2 linked regions of the Arabidopsis thaliana genome follow. The protein of the gene in region 2 interacts with the protein of the main gene of each other region in a pairwise test. Each region holds a gene or a part of one and is shown on either strand. Other genes may lie near its edges.

Region 1 (7,216 bases), on a different chromosome or scaffold from region 2:
GTCATCTCTACCGCTACAGTTTCTGCTGTCGTTTCTGTCTTAATAGCTTCAGGTTGGTTATATACTCTGCTCTGATTCTGTTTTGGAATCTTGTAATGAGTGACACTCCAAGTTACTTCCTATATGTATTGAAGAATGAAATGAATTTGGTATTGGATCAGGTTGGATTGGGTTTTTCTATGCGGTGTGGTTGGGAACAAGAGGAAGCCTACGCTTGGCTAAGCAATCGGTTTCAGTGGTGGGATCAGCCATTTCAGGTAACACTATCAGTCGTCATCAACACCAAGACCGGGAGGTAAACATCGAATCAACCAACTGAGAATCCGTCCTTACCGCGTTTGTAAATAAACCCCGACTTTTGGTTGTTAATGGAAGCTTGATATAAATATGATCTATGGAGTTTGTTGTGAAGAAGCAGAGAAAGAATGATAAGAATATTTCAAAATGCAACTTGAAACATTTTGTGATCAATGTCTACGGATTTTTGGATCTATGTATGCATACATTGTGTGTTTTATGTACTTAAGAAAGAATAATGATCAGTATCCATATGAAATCTCAACTCAGATCTCTCCCTCTCTCTACATTTCGGCTGCAAAAAAAAAAAAAAAAACTTGAAACCCTCTAGCCAACCAAGAGGCTTTCAAAAAAATATCCAAACTTTCACCACATTTTGATGATCTTCCAATTATATAACTTATGATCACACCACCAGATCAACCTCAAAAAACTAAAAACCCGAAAACCCAAAAACAAAAACTCATACATTGATCATCCACTTTATAATCAAATCATCAATGGAACTTGAGAAGAGGAACCTCCAAATTTCTTCATTTTGGTAGTGATATTCTCTCTCTCTGTGCAAAAATCAACACTCTTGAGCAGCTTGGCTCTCTACGTGTTCTCCTTCTTTTACGCTGAGAATTTCATCGTCACAAAGATATATACTGCATACATGTTTCTGAGTATATATAGAGAGAGAAAGATGAAACAAAAAAATAAAAAATCCAATATATATAAAAATCCAAATTGATCAAGAAAGTCATTTCTCGTGCCAATCTGGTCTGCCTAATGTAAACTCCAAACTTGGATTTTCACAACTAAGATTTCCACACCTCTTTGCTTGATCATTCGACCTTTGCTCCTGCCAATTTTAACTTTATATTAGATTAAAGGACAAAAAAAACACTAAGAAAGGCAATATCTATCTATACAAATATGATTAGATGGGAATTATCAGAACCTGATTTTGAATGCTGGATCTTTGATAATGAGAGATCATTGATGTTGATGAAGTTCTGATCATTGTATCTATGTCGCTTGAGCAGTTATTACTTAATGGCCATGTCTCTCTATTTTATGATTTAAGAAAAGAAAGAAAACAAATTAAGGACAAATTGTATTTATTGATGTATAGATGCCCTAAAAATAAAATAAAAATCACTACACACAAATTGCGTTTTTTTGCAACTTGCTATATGACCACAATCTACATGTCATACTTATGAAGCAAAATTCGTTTATCCTAGTCTTCCTAGATGAATCTTAAGAACCCAAACCAAATTATAATTAAAAAAAAAAACTTGGTACATATAATTAAAGTTCATCAGCCATAAACCCTAACCAATTTCATCTCATTGTAACCAAAACCATCACTCAAATTTTTTCCCCTTAAACTGAACGAAAACAAACTTAAAATATCATCTAAAAACTATTTTTGTTAGAAGAAAATGGATAGATGTGGGATAAACCAAACAATTGTCGTATGAATTACTTGGTAGGAAGTAGGAACAATTAGGTGAGAGAACCCTAAACCCTATCTCAAATTTCGTCAATCTTATTCTTACCTAATGTTTATATATACTTATCGTGTGTATAATACATGTACGTATATACGTAAACGTACCGTGAAGAGTTACTCCAACGAGGTTGTGTGGAAGAAATGTCAGTTTCTTGATGAAGAGAAGTATCATCAGATTGTGCCCTTTGATCCGTCGATGATTGATGATGAACTTCGTTTCCATTTATGCCCATTTCTTCTTCTCCTGACCCATCTGAAATTTTATTTTAACTTTTTATCAAGTTTCGTTGTCTCAAATCAATCACTTATACCCTATAAGGAATCTCATTTAAAACTGAACGATTCTTGTAAGCTTTTTTGTAAAAGACAATGCAGTGAAGAAATTGTTTTTCTTAAAAAATAATTTCAGCATTTCGTGTTGACCAACCTAATATGTGTCTCAAAAAATAGTTTTACAGACTCGAAAATTGTGCCAAATAAACTTTTAATTGGTTAAAGAAAATCCATATGAAACAAGTGGTTTTTCTTTATTCTTAATTCATGAACTTTGCTTGGATATGAGTTTACACTTCACACGTTTTAAATTTAATCTTTTACTCGATTTTTTTTTCTTAGAGAACATCAATATTGGGGATATATGTTTGTTTGGTTTGCTTTGAACTTTGACCACTCAACTTTAGGGTTCAATCAAAGGAAGGATAAAAGCCTTGAGCTTGACCAATATCTTAGGGCTCGTTTTTTATTATTTTGGGGAAAGGGAATAGTAGAAATAGTAGAATCAAATAGTAAAAATAACAGAAATAATTTCACGTCATTATATCTCTACATACATACAAATATCGAATCACAGCTTCAAATTCTGATTGAGAACTAATTTCTTATAAATATTGTAGTCAAAAAAAGCTATAATAGTGATTATATTGGACCTCCATTTCTATAAAATTCTGGTGGAGAATCCTAAGCTTTATTGTATATCTGTCTTATGTTATTTTTTGGTGAATTGTATATCTTTCTTATTAAAAGCCAGTACCATTTCTTTAGCATATATAAAGCTGAAAAAAGCTATACTAAAGAAATGTGAATATGCATAACATTATATGTGTGTGTGTGTGTAAAGGAATCACACGTACCTGATGAAGCAGCAGGCTTGTTAGTGGTCTTAACAGTTCGATACATCTGCAAAAAAAAAAAAATTAAAGGCATGATGAGAGCTCTAAAACTAGAATAAACCATAAATCCAATTAAAGACACAGGAAAAAACCAAAATAAATATCGGACAAAAGATACTGATAAACTAAATAGATTTATTTTTGTATAATGTGATACAGAATTACAGATGACAAACTGGAGAGATATATGCAGACACATATGAACTTTATATTATTAAATAAATAATATATGTAGTACATATGTGTGGTTTTCTGGGTTTGTCTTGGAACTGATGATGTATATATAATTAATTATTTATGATTTTAAGACCACGAGGTTGATGTCTGAAAGAAGGTTGAGTAATAGAAAGATTGTATTATTATCATTGAGTAATGATGACTACTTTTGTCCCCTCTTCCTAATTTAAAAAAGAAAAAATGAATTATAATCCAAAATAACTTCTATCTATCATCTCAATTCTCCATTGTTTAATAATTCTCTGAAAGGTTTCAGTCACTTAAAGCTATAACTACTCTCTCTTTTTCTCTCTTTAAATTCATTCAACTGCTTCAATTTTCTTGGCAATTGTGCCATCTCTTCCAAAATATGACTAAACTTAAAGCAAAGACAAAACAAGAAAATAAAAGTAACACATCAGAATTGGAGCTCTATTCATTGCTCTGATGATATATACGTACACAAAAACCTTGTTTCTTGATTCAGCTGTTTTTGTGCAAAACGCAAAGGAGAAGAGAGTGACATGATGGTGATGAAAACTATGAAATATCCCTAATTATAGAAAATCTTGATTGGTAACGAACTAACTCGACTAGATTAAACCTAAATTAACAAATAAAAATTGATTCTTTGTTGTGTCTAATTTAATTTCAAATAGAGTATAGATTATACCTGCAAATGGCTCTTCACATGTGCTAAAGTTAAGTCTTTTACATCCATGAGCTCAAGAACCGACTTTGGAGTTGCTCCTAGAATCACAACAACAACAAGAATAAAAGATTTAAGACTTTGAGAATAAAGTGAAGAAAAATGGGAATGATCATTAGAATGTGATTATGATATAAATGTGTACTTTCATGGCCGCCTAGAAGCTCAACAGCGTGAACAAACCGCGCGTGGAGGCTACTAGTCCAACGCATCCTTGGAGCTCTCATGCTTCGCTTTGTCGGCATCTTAGGCAAGAATCTTGATCTGATCATCCCATGATGATGATGGTTATGGTGATGAGGAGAAGACGAATCTGAAGATCCAACGACTCCATACTGATTATGATGATGATGATGATGCAAAGGAACACCTTTAAGCCTCGGGGAAGATTGTAATGATCGGTAAGCGTTGTTGTAGCCGGAAGATGAGTTTAAGATTGAGATTTGATCCATGTCTCCTCCTCCAAGAGAAGGTAATGAAGAGTTTTGTTGGTGGAAAGGGAATGAACGGTTGTGATAGACCGGGATGCCTCTAATTGGACGGTGGAGATTACTAATCTCGGATTCATCGACCCTTTGATGAACACCATTGATGATAGGGTTGTTGTAATGCTGCTGATGAGGAAGATTAAGGGTTCTTCGATCAGGACAATGGAAGATTCTTGCTGTTGGATGGTTATGATGAGATAAAGAGAGTTCAAAGTTGGACGATCGGTTGTTGTTTTCGAGTTGGGAGGATCTTCTTGAAGATTCTTTAGAAGATTCATTGTGATGGTATTGATGAATATCTGGGAGACTGATGTGGAGAGATAGATCAGGGAGAGTAGTTGTTGTGTTTGTTTTGGTTTTCTCTAGAAAAACACCTTCCATAGACATAATTAAAGAAACCTTTCTCTTGCTATTGCTGCCACTGAAGTTGTTGATGATGATAAGGATGATGATGGTGATGATGATGATGACTATTCTTTTGTTTTTTTTTTCTCCTGAGGGTTTTGCTTAGGAATTTAAAATGATTTTCTCTAAGGAGAAGAGAAAGCAGAGAGATTCTTTAGGCAAAGAAGTCAAAAGGGTGTCTGAAAGATTTGATATTTTTTTTGTTCTCTTTCTCTCTCTATATCTCAGAAAGAAAGGAGAAAGTGAGAGAGATGAAGTTAAAGAGAAGCTTAGAAGAAGAGAGAGAAGTTGAGTGATGATCTTCTTGAAGAAACAAACATGCTCAAAGTAAGACGCAGAGAGAGAGAAAAAGAAGGAAGAGAGAGATAGAGAGAGGTATGTGTGTTGTGAAGCAAAGGCAGAAGAGAAAAAAGGAATAAAACTAAATCCAGGAAAATTAAAAACAGGTAAGAGAGAGAGATATATGTGTGTTCGTTCATGTACATGTATGTGTATGTGTATGTGTGAGATGTTGTTCCTCGAGAGTATATCTTGGAAAACGATAGTTGAGAAAGGGTAATATTGTCATTCGCTATATTCCAAATATTGGAAGCTTTTTATTTTATTTTGGGATGGTATTTCAATTTGTCTTTTTCACCTTTCAACAAGTAAACCCATCTATCAATATAATATAAATTATTTTACGGCTAGATTAATTGATTTCATGTTTTAGTTTATTCGTTTAAACTACTGAAATTTTGATTTCCATAGATAAAGTTGAAGAATAATAGCAAAATAAATCTTGTTTTCTATCAATTTAGTAGATGAAATTTTCAAATGTAAAGTGTATTTAATAATCGACCAATTTCATAGATGAAAAGCATACAACTTTTAACAATAAAAATTAATACGATTATCATCCATTAAAACCTTAACAATTTGAGTAATAAATCAAAAACTCAATTGATCTTTAAAATAATAATGTTCACAGATTATCATGAAGAATAATAATTAAAAATGTTGGAGAAGAGTACAAGAGGAGAGAGAATAAAGGGTCGCTCTCTTCTGTCCTATCTAATCTATAGTCAAAGCAAAAGCCAAAATTAAATTAAATAAATAAATAACAAGAAGAAAAAAACAAACACAAGACCTATTCTAAAATAAATAAAAAGTTTCATTATAACCAAAAAAAAATAAAATAAAAAAAGAGAGAGTGCTTTGATTTTGGTACCCCGGAGACGACGGGATACATATGTTGAGACTTGAGAGAGAGAAAGAGACTGTGTCCTCTCTGACTCCTTTTTTATTTTCTCCCCCACTCTCTTCGCTTCTCACTTCACTCTCTATTCACATCTTATTATAATAATTCCTTATACGATTTTGGAATCAAACAAATTCAAGTTTCTGACCGTAGATTGTTCAACTATACCTAAAGAGATAAATATACATTAAATATCAGTACGTTCTTGAGTTTATGAATAGCTCGTATAGACATTTAGTTCCTAGAGATGTGACTACAATATCAACCGGCTACTTGTTTGACCGTTTTGTGTTGTCTATCAATTAGAGCCAAATCGAAGTCATATACATGTCGCTTTAAAATACGTACTTGAAAAGAAATAAAATTAGGCAGATTTATATATATTTTTGACTTGTTTGTGTCGAATGTAATAATGTATGCATTCTAGTGTTTCTGTTTTCTTTGTACTCGACATTTTTACATTCACATTGTTCGTTTATAATTCTACAAAAAAAATTATGGAGTTGACTTTATCTACTGTGAAACAGAAATATGTCATACTGAAAAATAATGAAAAATATACAAAATTGAATAGTATTTAACTATTCGTATGTTTTTGTCAAAGAATTATTATATTTTTTTATCCCACTTTTAATTTGGAATATATAAACTCTGTGTTTTGCCTTCCAAAGGTACGGAAATTATTGTCTTAGAAAGTATCTTTCTCTTCAAATACATACATATATGCATACGTGTGTACAATACAAGGTGCCCTCGTACGTATATAAACCAAGTGTCATATAAAGAATTCGATCAATTATTGTAACGTAACATGCATGCTTTTAGATTATACGTGAAGTTAAATATATATTAGACCTAAGAAAATACTCAGCCAGAAAGTGGATTTTGTTTGTTTCCCTTAATAAACAAAAACAAGTGAACCCTAAAGAACCTAAATATTTGCTTCTAATTCCCTTTTCATTCTCCCAAATATTCCTTCTCAATTTAATAACTCTTTTCTAATTTTCTTTAAATTGTCTTCTAAGAAAAAAAATAAACTATTCACTCCTCACATGACCATATCAATACAACATCTCGACAAATCATTAATGCCTTGAAATAAAAATATGATAAATTGTAAGACTATGTTTATATATCAGGAAATTTAAATAAGTGAGATTTTATTCGTTGATTATACAGTAATATATA
Region 2 (5,091 bases):
GGATCAAATCAATCGGAAAAAAAAAACTTACAGGGGAATTTAAGCTCAGTAGGATGGATATTAACGAGATCTCCGGTCGTCATGCTTCTTTGTAGATCCTTCGAGATTGAAATTTGATTTCTCTGTTTTTTTTTTAGGGTTTACGACTGTGAGAAGAAGAATGAGAATCGAACAAATTTTGATTTTGGTCAGAGAAGAAGAAAAGTGAATAAATATTTTTTTGAGCCAAGACTGGTAAATTTTGTAGTTTTAAATATTAAATGCCACGTAACTAGATTTGACGATCACCGATTGACCGTGATTTTTTTAATGCGTTAGCGGTTAGCCCAACAAAATCAAGGCTATTGTTCCCTGACTGAAATAAGCCCAACAAAAAGGATCCATTATACTATTGTGGGCCTTCTAAAGCCCAGTGAATTTTTATTGATAATAGGCATTTTTTTTTGTTGAATTCTTTTGAGCTGAATACATATTGATGATTCTTCCCAATATGTTATATACAAATCAAATTCGAATATGGAATTGTAAAGAGAAAAAGACAGTATCATTAACGTATGGTAAAGCCTAGCTAGCTTAGCTACTGCATGCTTTTGATATTAAATATATAACACGGCAACTGAGAAAACAATATATTTTCAATTCCAAGAGAAAATTCTAGTAGTTCCGAAAATTTCTTTAAGAAAAAAAAAAAAGGTCTCCTGATCGATTATCAAATATCATAAAATAGTAATAAGAAAGTTAAGTTTGAGCTGAAAGTAACCACATTTTGAAGATTACAAAAGATTGGGAAAGTCTTCGTAGCTAGTTATGGGCCACCCCAACGTTGGCAGCTGAACCGTAAAACCCTTCTCTTCCCATCATCCCATCCTCTCCTTCCTTCATTACACCAAAATAAAATATCTCGATTATGTTTTGATGATCAATGCATGCATGCTCCTGATTATATACATTTGAATAAATAAATATAGTGTAGTAGTAGTAAGTAACCTGTTGGCGCACGTTAGCCTTCTTCGTGGGAGGATGGTCAGCCATGAGTCCAAAGTGTATGTGAGGGAAATGAGCCCACTGTTTCATACATATTACATCATATACTTAGCTCTTTTAACATTAATGTGTATTTATCTTATACATAACATAAAAACTTGGTCAAAAATATACGAATACAAAGCCAGACTAAAATATCTGCTAGGGAACTTTACTGAAACCCTAGATCGTAGATCCTAAGGCTAGTCCTAGCTAATGTATGCTGGATAAAGCTTATGAATTATGGATTATTACGGTAACTATTTTGTTTTATGTTTTTAATTTAAAGCAATGTGAGTATCAATGTAGCTCCACAATAATCTAGCTAGGTTCAATTCATAAAGACTAAAATGAGATTGTATGATTATGGATATAATGCAATATAGAAAATTAGTTTTATATATTAAAAAAAGAAATGGTACGTTTTTGGCAGCAGCACTGAAGGCTTCTCTGTGGCTGATATCAGGGTTGCCTGCCTTTATACGTTGGATCTCCTCTCTGTCAACATTTTTATTTTTATATCATATAATGAAATCAAATCTGTCACATCTATCGACCCTTAATTATATGAGTAAAATGGTTAATTAGGGAAATTTAATTATGCCATTTTAAGCAAAGGAATAAACTTATTACTTGATGAATCGGTTGTATGCAGATGGTACTCTTTGTCGCTTCTCTGGGGCTGCTTTTCCACAAACAAACAAACAGAACATATTCAATTTTAATTCCAAATCAAACCCTTTTGTTAAAAAAAACATTATTGGTTTTTATTGTGCCTCCCCAAAAAATCTAAAAATTCACCAAAAAAAAACAATTAAAAAAAAAAAAACAATCACTCTTCGACTCTTCCTCCTTTCTCTCTCTCCCTCTCCCTCTCACTTTGCTCGTTATCATCATCACTTCATCATTATCTTTCTTACGATCTACCCCCAAAACTATATCAGTTGGCATCTATAGGTTTAGCTAGATTTCCGGGGGATAAACACATCACTTATTAATTTTCCTTTTGTTGTCGAAATTGTTTTCTGACCAAAAAAAAAGTGCATGCGAGAAGTCACATACCGAGGGAACAAAAATGAAATCAAAACTTATAAATTCATTATAAACAAACGAGATTCTTTGGAGTGTATATATAAAAGGTTGAAGAAATGAATGGATAAGGTTTTGTGAATTAGGGTTTTTGTTTTCTTATATATATATATATGAAGATGTTGAAATAAAGAGTAGAAGATGGAAGGTTACGTCTATTGGCTGGTGGTGGCCGAGGCATCTCTTGTAGATGATCCACTGATCTTCCGTTGCGAGTCGCCATAACCAAATGCTCGTTCGGGTGGTGAGCTGAAGCGTGATGGCTCATCATCATGTTCATGTTTATATTCTGCCCTCCGCTTCGCATTTCCTCCTAATAAATGAAATCAGCAAACTAATTGGCAAAAAAAACTTAAAACACTAATCAAACCAAACTACTTTGATATGATGTTTTCGAAAGAAACCCTAGTTAACTAGCCATTGCCAAACTACTTAGATCTATCCCGGGATGCTAACAAAATTAAACATTTTTGGATTGAGTTTCACAATTTTGCGTTTCTCGAGAAGAAAAGCCCTAATTATTACTCTCTGTTTTTTTTATGAAAGAACCCTAATTTGTTTCGATGAATGAAACCGATGTACCAAAAGATTTGGAGGAGGAGGAGGAGGAGGGGGAGGTAAAAAGGAATGGCCAAGGTTGGAAACGGATGGAAGAAGAAGAGCTCTCATGCTCACGGTCACCGACAAAAGGTTCGAACAGTGGCCGCATCTGACCGTCACCGTCTTGAACAAACTACTCGGAGGAACACTCACCTGCCAATTAATATCACACATTAATTAACTAGTAATTCATGTGAAACCCTAGCTAGAGTTATAAATTTGAAATATTGAGATGAGATATAAGAATAATCCAAAATTTACAGCAAGGACAGTGTCGCAGAAGCTGCAATGGACGTAACAGAGCTGGTCCGTAGATGAGAAGTGGTCCGGTGGAAAAGCTGGAGCTGAGGAGGACGACATGGACATGCTCGACATGGAGTCTTTTTCTTGATTTAAAACAAAAAAGGAGTAAGAGAGAGAGGAGGGCTTTGATTTGATTGAAAAGATATGACTGATCGATGTTCAGATAGAAGTAGATTCTCCTTCCACCACACCCTTTTGACAATTGTGTTTAGTGTTGGGTGATGAGCAGTACTTTATAAATGTCTTGTACTTCTCCAGAAGTTGAAGTCCAGAGAGAGAAGGAAGAGAAAGAACGGTGGAGAGGAAGATGTGGTTTAGAGAGAGAGAGAGAGAGAGATATCTATTTATGTAAATATGAAGAGACACTGTACCTAAACAAATTGGCGACATGTGATGAAGAGGCCATTGTAGAGATAAGCTGCATACCTGCATTCTCATTTACTACCTTTTGAACCGGTTTATCTTCTTTATTATTCCTATCCATCCTTTTTCTTTCTTCTATATATCAAACCGGAACTAGTCTTTGTTTCTATATAATCAGATAAAAACTCTACTTTGGGACTAATTATCATTATCAAGTACCATTGAATTAGTAGCCGATCGGTGAGGAATAATAGATATAAAGATTTCAAAGTTTTATAACGACAAGATTTGTGCAGCATCAAACATGTACATACGACAAACATGCTAACTTTTTTTTTTTTTTACCAACTATTTAAACCGCTTATATATTTGCGGAAAAAACAAAACTTCAATTTGGCTAATAAGTGTCGTACGTGACACATGTATAGAAGATTAACCATATCTATAGGGTTTAATTAGGAGTTTATTTGAATGTCGAACATCCAAAAATTAAGATAATATTAATTCACATGTTAAAGTTGGAATTGTTAAGGTTTTCTATTTTGGTTATGCATTTTGTTACATGGTTTGTGACCTTGTGTCGTCGCAATGATGATAATGCAACAGTGGAAAAAAATTTGATGATAATTGATAATGCAATAACAGAAAATATATTGGAATTGTTAAGGTTTTCTATTTTGGTTAAGCATTTTGTTACATGGTTTGTGACTTTGTGTCGTCGCACTAATGATAATACAATAACAAAAAAAATATCAACTAAAAGCATGAAAATAAAGAGGGAACAATATGAAAATATACTTATGCATGAGATAAAGAGAGAACAATATGAAAATAAGGTTGGTGTTGTTTTCATAGACCTAAAAGCAGCAGAACTTGAACTTGAATGTGTGTTGTGGTGGATCTCCAGAAAGTCCTTGGCATATTACACCCATATTTAGAGTTAAAAGTGGTCATATAGCTAGATATTTTGTTTCTATATGCACATATACACTCGCAGTGAATCCAACTCTTCAGCGTATTGAGGTCATTGTACAAGTCTTCTCCGCAAAATAAGAAGAAGAAGATAATGTAAAATAAACGAAGTTAAATCTAATCTGGTTACGGTTTGAATTCAATTGGATGAAAAATGTTTTGTTTTTTCTTTTCTTTAAAGGACGCAAAGTTCGATGAAGTGGGAGAGAGAGGAAGAGGAAAGGGACTTGTGCATGGAAGTGATTAAGCAAAGGCTCATTCATCAGTTGTTTTCACACTTAATAACATTTCTGCCACACCACACTTTCCCTCGATCCTCGTCAATTCCATGCCCTTTTCTATTTATTAGTATTTGTATATACTTTCTCTACATTCCAATGTATATCATTTTGTCATCATTATTTTTACCCGCAAGTGTGTGGTTTCGCTAAATTCCATAATACAGGACCACCATTTTGTGGTAACTTCCCAATTGTTCGTGATAATTACTAGGTCATAGTGAAATTTAAATTTATTTATATCTGAAATTAGTTTAAGTTTTTGTAAATATTATGGCTATCCGGTTTCACAATATATAGTGTAGACATAGAATATGATTTTTGTAAGTCAAAATCCTATCACAATAGAACTTCAAGCAAATATAGTATAGTTGTTTGCAACTTTAGTATTTGTATTGAGTTTATTAGAGTGTGGGCTTCCAACATAAAACCAATTGGCAATAGATGGAAAGGCTCATATCTT

What was found.
Region 1: the proteins of YAB3 (region 2) and KAN interact in binary tests that used the Arabidopsis thaliana proteins (3 or more experiments, as listed by UniProt).

The regions. Positions count from the first base shown.
Region 1 is NC_003076.8:5,406,323-5,413,538, forward strand, and holds KAN (Homeodomain-like superfamily protein), read right to left. Parts: upstream 5,445-7,216; 5' UTR 4,771-5,444; coding exon 4,041-4,770; intron 3,937-4,040; coding exon 3,860-3,936; intron 2,978-3,859; coding exon 2,932-2,977; intron 2,055-2,931; coding exon 1,907-2,054; intron 1,353-1,906; coding exon 1,244-1,352; intron 1,145-1,243; coding exon 1,043-1,144; 3' UTR 541-1,042; downstream 1-540. Other genes in the region: AT5G16550 (voltage-dependent L-type calcium channel subunit), read left to right, coding at 1-52, 162-319. UniProt on the Arabidopsis thaliana protein: Transcriptional repressor that regulates lateral organ polarity. Promotes lateral organ abaxial identity by repressing the adaxial regulator ASYMMETRIC LEAVES2 (AS2) in abaxial cells. Required for abaxial identity in both leaves and carpels.
Region 2 is NC_003075.7:72,003-77,093, forward strand, and holds YAB3 (Plant-specific transcription factor YABBY family protein), read right to left. Parts: upstream 3,575-5,091; 5' UTR 3,088-3,574; coding exon 2,974-3,087; exon of another isoform or gene 2,887-2,973; coding exon of another isoform or gene 2,866-2,886; coding exon 2,695-2,865; intron 2,426-2,694; coding exon 2,266-2,425; intron 1,706-2,265; coding exon 1,657-1,705; intron 1,522-1,656; coding exon 1,446-1,521; intron 1,066-1,445; coding exon 988-1,065; intron 877-987; coding exon 802-876; 3' UTR 543-801; downstream 1-542. Other genes in the region: AT4G00170 (Plant VAMP (vesicle-associated membrane protein) family protein), read right to left, coding at 32-83. UniProt on the Arabidopsis thaliana protein: Involved in the abaxial cell fate determination during embryogenesis and organogenesis. Regulates the initiation of embryonic shoot apical meristem (SAM) development.